Linked DNA regions of Saccharomyces cerevisiae S288C. The protein of the gene in region 1 binds, or shares a complex with, the protein of each later gene. Each region holds a gene or a part of one and is shown in the gene's direction. Other genes may lie near its edges.

Evidence for each region. The genes of interacting proteins can lie anywhere in the genome.
Region 2: PAP2 (region 1) and AIR1 share a complex: the UniProt entries of both Saccharomyces cerevisiae proteins name them as parts of the TRAMP complex.

Annotation. Positions count from the first base shown.
Region 1 is NC_001147.6:99,764-103,729, forward strand, and holds PAP2 (non-canonical poly(A) polymerase PAP2), read left to right. Parts: upstream 1-1,711; coding exon 1,712-3,466; downstream 3,467-3,966. Other genes in the region: MSN1 (Msn1p), read left to right, coding at 46-1,194; PTH4 (Pth4p), read right to left, coding at 3,554-3,966. UniProt on the Saccharomyces cerevisiae protein: Catalytic subunit of the TRAMP complex which has a poly(A) RNA polymerase activity and is involved in a post-transcriptional quality control mechanism limiting inappropriate expression of genetic information.
Region 2 is NC_001141.2:210,423-214,875, reverse strand, and holds AIR1 (TRAMP complex RNA-binding subunit), read left to right. Parts: upstream 1-2,870; coding exon 2,871-3,953; downstream 3,954-4,453. Other genes in the region: threonine--tRNA ligase THS1, read right to left, coding at 173-2,377. UniProt on the Saccharomyces cerevisiae protein: Component of the TRAMP (TRF4) and TRAMP5 complexes which have a poly(A) RNA polymerase activity and are involved in a post-transcriptional quality control mechanism limiting inappropriate expression of genetic information.

The DNA of each region.
Region 1 (3,966 bases):
AGAAACCAAATCAGAAAAGGAGATTATTTCAAGGTAGGCATCGAAATGGCAAGTAACCAGCACATAGGAGCTTCAAACCTAAATGAGAATGAGGCTATATTAACCAACCGCGTTGCTGAGCTGGAAAGGCGTATGTCGATGTTTGAGGGTATATTTCACGCGTTAAGTAACCGTCTCGATCTTCACTTTAAAAAATATGATGTAGTGGTAAACTCCCAACAGCAACAAATCAACGAACTGACCGCGTTTTTATCAACATTGCTGAATGACCAACAACGCCACGCTGAAATTCTCAGTGAAAAATTAAGCGGAACGTTGCATGGGGTGTCAGCTACGTCAATATCCTTAAGCCAAACTCTTGACCCACAAGGCTTCACTGATGGAACTACGGCACCAGGAGCTCCTAGGAATTATACTTCAGTGCCTATGAATAATGATCAAACTGCTCATCCGCAAAATGAAGGAGCTGTTAGTAATGAAACACTTTTTGAGGACATTTTGAATGGAAATTCACAAGAAAATGATAAGAGTCAACAACAAACTAACAGCTCAAATTCTATAAGCCAAGAAAATAATAGCACCAACCCTTCAGTGGACACTCGGTTCAACAAGCCGCAAAATTATAATTCCAATTTAGTCCCATCCTTGGAAGAGTATTCAGCAAATCCACCTAACAATGATGGTGGCCAAAGTCAAGGACTGTACATAAGCAGCAACTCTTCTCAATCACGGCAGTCTCCTAATCTCCAGAAAGTTTCTCCTAACCATGAAAATGCGGTTGAATCAAATGCACAAGAGAGCGTGCCGACATTTGAGGAGGAACAGTATGAGACTAAAACAGGATTGAAACGGAAACGAATAGTCTGCACAAGACCCTTCGAATTTATCAAGTCACCACACTCTGTGATGGAGGTTTGGAAGGAGTATACAGAAGGTGTTAACGGGCAGCCTTCTATAAGGAAAATGGAAGCTCTTTATCAAACGGCATGGAGGCGAGATCCAGCAGTAAATAAAAGATATTCGAGAAGAAAGGTTCTTTGGAAAGCCATTCAAACTGGCCTTAATCGTGGGTATTCATTAAACTATGTTGTTGAAATATTAGAAAACTCAAGATATGTTAATGATAAACAGAAGGTTAAACAACCTATTGGTTGGTTATGCCACAGTTCTCATATTCCAGAGACTTTGAAGTGACATTTGCTTCTTGTGTATTCACCTTTATCCCAAATTAGCCCTTGTAACACTTATGCTTTTCTTAATAAATTAATAATTGGACTTTCCTTTAAAGTGGGTTGTATCTGTAACAATAATCTCTAATAATATCCTATAAAACTCAGAAGTCAGCCAACAACAATTGTATACGTATACATATCTATATAATATGCCTTGTACTTTACGCTCTTGAATTTAGAATAGCTGAACACCTAACTGAATTTAAGTAAAGGATCCCAAGCGTGAGATATTTAGGTTTACTCAGTTTTCTTATCTTGCCTTTTGATTATCACGTTGAGTGTCGAAGAAACCTGTATTCATCCTCGGCTTCTTGTATATGATTCTAAAATAATGTGTGAAAAAAAAAATAAAATAAAAAAAAGAGGAAAATAATATAGAATAACTATTAAGTTTCATTAAAAAAAAACCATTTGAATATACGACCAAAAACGTTACGCTTTCATAAAGTGTGAATAAGCAAGGGAACTATACTTGAAATATGGGGGCAAAGAGTGTAACAGCCTCTTCTTCAAAGAAGATTAAAAACCGGCATAATGGGAAAGTGAAAAAGAGCAAGAAAATCAAGAAAGTACGGAAACCACAGAAGTCTATATCCTTGAACGACGAAAACGAAGTAGAGATTTTACCTAGTCGTAATGAGCAAGAGACAAATAAATTACCTAAAGATCACGTCACGGCGGATGGAATTCTTGTATTAGAACATAAATCTGATGATGATGAAGGATTCGATGTCTACGATGGACATTTCGATAACCCTACTGATATTCCCTCGACTACTGAAGAAAGTAAAACGCCTTCATTAGCAGTGCACGGGGATGAGAAGGATCTTGCTAACAATGATGATTTTATCTCTCTTTCTGCTAGTTCTGAGGATGAGCAAGCCGAACAGGAAGAGGAGAGGGAGAAACAAGAATTAGAAATTAAAAAAGAAAAGCAAAAGGAAATCCTTAATACTGATTATCCATGGATTTTAAATCATGATCACTCCAAACAGAAAGAAATCTCGGACTGGCTAACCTTTGAAATCAAGGATTTTGTTGCCTATATCTCACCAAGTCGTGAAGAAATTGAAATTCGTAATCAAACCATAAGTACAATAAGAGAGGCTGTCAAACAGTTATGGCCAGATGCTGATTTGCACGTGTTTGGATCATATTCTACCGATTTGTATTTGCCTGGTTCCGATATTGATTGCGTGGTAACGAGCGAACTTGGTGGTAAGGAAAGTAGGAATAACTTGTATTCGTTAGCAAGCCATTTAAAAAAAAAAAATTTGGCAACAGAGGTTGAAGTTGTCGCCAAAGCTCGCGTTCCAATCATCAAGTTTGTTGAGCCACATTCAGGGATCCACATAGATGTTTCATTTGAGAGAACAAATGGTATTGAAGCAGCAAAGCTTATTAGAGAGTGGTTGGACGATACCCCCGGCCTGAGAGAATTAGTCCTTATCGTAAAACAATTCCTACACGCAAGAAGACTAAATAATGTGCATACCGGTGGTCTTGGTGGGTTTAGTATTATATGTCTTGTCTTTTCCTTTTTGCATATGCACCCACGTATAATAACTAACGAAATAGATCCAAAGGACAACTTGGGTGTGCTCCTGATAGAGTTTTTTGAACTTTATGGGAAAAATTTTGGTTATGATGATGTTGCACTGGGATCATCGGATGGATATCCAGTATACTTTCCAAAATCGACATGGAGTGCTATTCAGCCTATTAAAAATCCATTTTCATTGGCCATTCAAGATCCAGGTGATGAATCAAATAACATCAGTCGAGGGTCCTTTAACATTCGAGATATTAAAAAGGCATTTGCTGGTGCTTTTGATCTGTTGACGAATAGATGTTTTGAATTACATTCAGCAACTTTTAAGGATCGATTGGGGAAAAGTATATTGGGAAACGTGATCAAATATCGTGGAAAGGCAAGAGATTTCAAGGATGAAAGAGGTCTAGTACTGAATAAGGCTATTATTGAAAATGAAAACTATCACAAGAAACGTAGCAGAATAATTCATGATGAAGATTTTGCCGAAGATACAGTTACCTCCACAGCCACCGCTACCACAACAGATGATGATTATGAAATAACGAACCCACCTGCTAAGAAGGCTAAAATAGAAGAAAAACCTGAAAGTGAACCGGCCAAGAGAAATAGTGGAGAGACATATATCACTGTCTCTAGCGAAGATGATGATGAAGATGGATATAATCCTTATACCCTTTAATATGTGCCTTTTTGTTTAAATGATGCACTGAACTGTACATCACTGTGTACCTGGATAGAATGTGTGTTTAAATATGCGTATTATGTATTAATAATTGAATTTAATTTTACTTCTGTTTTTCTTTTTATCGCTGTGAACTTTTTTGTCAAGAAGTCGCTCTTTGTTGGCTTTCTCTTTTATTTTATTCCATTTCTTTGAGGTCTCAGCAGTGGTATCATTAGGAAATTGGCACGTTTGCCGAATTTCTTGAACCAACTTCTCGAAGCATTTTAATTTGTTGGTTTCCCTTGACCTAGTTTCATCAGATTGAATTACTATAGAATCGCTGCCCTTAGCGTAGTATCGAAACCTGCCGCTACTTAAGATGTTTCTCACTTCCTGAGGAATCCAAGCACAGTTTGATAAACCAGAAAGTGTCAAAGTACATTTACTATTTACCTTATTAACGTTTTGGCCTCCTGGCCCGCTGGCTCTATCGTAACGTAAAATAAATTGATTTA
Region 2 (4,453 bases), on another chromosome or scaffold:
GAACACCATCTGCATACCAAATTGCTTTCTTCCATATTGAATTCGCGCACATCTTATCGAAGGAAAAAAAAAGAAGAAATAGTTAATAGAGGTAAGATTCCTTCATCATACTCATTTTATTCTTTACAAAACATAAATTAAATAAGTCAAAATTTAACTACATAAAATCTCATTAAGCTAAGACGTTGTCACCTCTCTTTTCATCTTTCAAGTTACGCAACTGTTTCAAAACTTCTTCAACAGAAACAGTAGCATTTTTACCCTGTTGTTCCATAACGTCTCTGTTTCTAATGTTAACAGATTTTTCATTCATTTCTTGTTCACCAACAATAAAAATGAAGTTATATTTTAGCATTTGCCCGTTTCTGACCTTCTTTTGCAGAGTGTTACCGGTCAAATCGACATCGGCATAGAAGCCAGCATCGTGCAATTTGTTACGGACGTCTTCAGCATACCCTTGGTACTTGACACCAACTGGCACAACCAAAACTTGACGTGGTGATAACCAAAATGGCCATTTACCAGCAAAATGCTCGGTCAAAATGGCAGTCATTCTTTCAACAGACCCTAAAATGGCACGATGGATCATGACCGGTCTTTCGTAACTCTCGCTATCTTGATCTTTAGATTTAAATTCCAATTCGAACCTGTTTGGCAATTGGAAATCTAATTGGATGGTGGCACATTGATGCCATCTTCTTAAAGCGTCAGAAATCATAATGTCAATCTTTGGACCGTAGAAAGCACCATCACCAGCATTGATCTCCCAGTTACCACCCCATTTCTTTAAGGCAGATTCTAATTTTGATTCAGCGGCATCCCAGGTTTCGATCTTTCCAACGTACTTTTCTGGTCTAGTGGACAATTCCATCTTAAATTCAAATCCAAAAACGCCGTAAATGTATTGCAAAAAGTTGAAAATATTTTCAATTTCAGACTCAATTTGGTCATGGGTACAGAAGATATGAGCATCATCTTGTTGGAATCTTCTGACACGAGTCAAACCAGACAAGGCACCAGAAAATTCATTTCTGTGGATAACACCGAAGTCTGCAACTCTCCATGGCAATTCTCTATAAGAACGTTCTCTAGACTTGAACATCAAACAATGACCTGGACAGTTCATTGGTTTTAGACCGAAAGTTTCCTTCTCTACTTCGAAAGTAAACATGTTTTCCTTGTAATTGGCCCAGTGACCTGAGGTTTCCCACAATTTGGAGTTGTACATGTTTGGAGTGATGACTTCTTCGTAACCTCTCTTACGGTATTCGGTTCTCAACAAGTCAACCAAAGTGTTGTAAATTCTAGTACCATGAGGTAACCAAAAGCAAGAACCTGGGGACATTTCATTGAATAAGAATAATTCTTGTTCTTTACCAATCTTTCTGTGATCTCTCATAGAGGCTTCCGCCAAGAACTTCAAATGAGCATCCATTAATTTTTTGTCTGGAAAAGAGATACCGTAAACTCTTTGTAAAGAGTCGTTTGTCGCATCACCTAAGAAATAACAAGAAGAGTTCTTTAATAGTTTGAAAGCTTTGATACGCCCAGTATGTGGGATATGAGGGCCGACACATAGATCAATCAATTTACCGCAACGGTAGACGGTAGTAGCACCTCCATCTGGAACCTTTGTCTGTACCAAGTAAGTCTTATACTTCGAATAATGAAACATTTTCAAAAGATCTTCTTTGGACATGACCAATCTTTCAAATTTTTGCTTTTGCTTGATAACATTCTTGGCAACGCCTTCCAATCCTGGGAAATCAGCTTGGGAGACGGTTCTTTCTGGAGATTCAGATATATCTTTCATACTATCTCTAACAGCCATTTCATAAAAGAACCCATCATCAGTTGGAGGACCTAAACAAATATGGGCACCTAGGTGGCACTCACAAGATTCACCCAAGACGTGGGCAGACGAATGCCAAAAGACCTTCTTACCTTCGTCAGATTCGAAATCTAGCAGTTCTAATTTGATTTCTTCGTTGGCTTCGCCTTCAAATGGTCTATCTAAGTCCCATAATTGACCATTAACCTTAGAAATACATAACCTGTCTGCTAAAGATTTAGAAATTCCTTTGGCAATATCCATCGGAGTGGTTTCCCAAGAAGTGGCTTCCTTAACGGCTCCATCCTTCAAGACAATCTTCAATGGAACACGTGGCATAGAAGCAACTTTATCATTGTATTCCTTTTGTAATCTGTCAAACATTTCAATTCTTTCCTCGATGAAAGTTGGTTCAGGATCCAAGTACAAGGACTGTTGCTTGGATTTTTTGTTTTCTTTCTTATTTGGTTTTACGGCATCATTACTACTATCCTTGACAGACAGCTTTTTGACTTGCTCAGTGACACCTGCTTCACTAGCACTCATCTCCGTTTTATTTTCTTGCTCTGTTAGCTGTTAATTTTTCGTTAACCTGTAATCTTTCAGATGACACATCATTTAATGCACGATTTATCTAACTTTCTTTTGTTGCCATCGCAAGTATTTTTTTCAAGTGAAAATTCCTCGAAAAAAATTTTTTAGCAAGATAGCCGTATATGATGATTTATACATATCACAAGGTAAGAGTCATTTAAACAGTAAAAAGAAAGCGTTTGCGTCAGCATATACAATGGCACATCTGTAAATTCATTTATATATTATATGAAAATGTGACTTCAATATTTCTAAAGTGACTTCCATAGGCGCTTGTCCTTTGTCTTTGTTTCTTGCTACTGTTAAAGCTCATTGACAGGCTTTTCAATTTCTTGGTCCATGAAAAAATGAAAAATTACTAAAAATTAGCGATGCGATGAGTGGGAAAGGTCCAACATTCTCACATGAGGAATACAAAGGAAGCGGACCACGGAGCTAAGATATTATGTCGACATTGTTATCTGAGGTAGAAAGTATCGATACTTTGCCGTATGTGAAGGATACAACACCGACAGGAAGTGACTCGTCATCATTTAATAAATTATTGGCTCCTTCCATAGAGGATGTAGATGCTAACCCAGAGGAACTGAGGACTTTACGTGGCCAAGGACGGTATTTTGGAATAACAGATTATGACTCAAACGGTGCGATAATGGAGGCAGAGCCAAAGTGTAATAATTGTTCGCAAAGAGGTCATTTGAAAAGGAATTGTCCCCATGTGATATGTACTTACTGCGGGTTTATGGATGATCATTACTCACAACACTGCCCTAAGGCTATTATTTGCACTAATTGTAATGCAAACGGCCATTATAAATCACAGTGTCCTCATAAATGGAAGAAGGTGTTCTGCACGCTTTGCAATAGCAAAAGACACTCAAGAGAAAGATGTCCTAGTATTTGGAGATCTTATTTATTAAAAACAAAAGATGCTAACCAAGGTGACTTCGATTTTCAAACAGTTTTCTGTTATAACTGTGGGAATGCCGGTCATTTTGGCGATGACTGTGCTGAAAGAAGGTCATCGAGAGTGCCGAACACTGATGGAAGTGCATTTTGCGGTGATAACTTAGCCACAAAATTTAAACAACACTATTTTAACCAATTGAAAGACTATAAACGTGAAGCTTCACAAAGGCAACACTTTGATAACGAACATGAATTCAACCTGCTTGACTATGAATATAACGACGATGCATACGACCTCCCTGGCTCAAGGACTTATAGAGATAAAATGAAATGGAAGGGCAAAGTGCAGTCAACAAGGAACAAAAATAGTAGCAATAATAGATATGAAAGCAGTAATAACAGGAAGAAGAAGTCACCATTTAGCGCACAGAACTACAAAGTGACGAAAAATAAAAGAGTTCAGACACACCCCTTAGATTTCCCCAGAAGTAGCCAAAACAACAGAACGAACGATTATTCGAGCCAGTTCAGCTATAATAGGGACGACTTCCCCAAGGGTCCTAAGAATAAGAGGGGCCGATCATCTTCTAACAAAAGCCAAAGAAATGGCCGTTATTGAGATTATATGTGAGTTTTTTTAATTTTTTTTCCATTCTCATTGCAGCAAACATATATATGTTTATTTTATAGGGATTTTTTGTATCGATAGAGCAGTACAAAGCAAAAAAAAAGTACATTGTTGGAGTCTCGTATTTCTTACTTACTGTCTTAGCAGTAGTAGAAGAGATTTGTACAAAAAAATATGGTCTCTAGCGGGATCGAACCGCTGATCCCCGCGTTATTAGCACGGTGCCTTAACCAACTGGGCCAAGAGACCAGATATTTCATATGTTCTGTTGTATTACGGGCTCGAGTAATACCGGAGTGTCTTGACAATCCTAATATAAACAGTCTTAGGGAAGTAACCAGTTGTCAAAACAGTTTATCAGATTAATTCACGGAATGTTACTTATCTTATATATTATATAAAATATGAATCATACTAAGTGGTGGAAGCGCGGAATCTCGGATCTAAACTAATTGTTCAGGCATTTATACTTTGGGTAGTTCAGCTAGGGA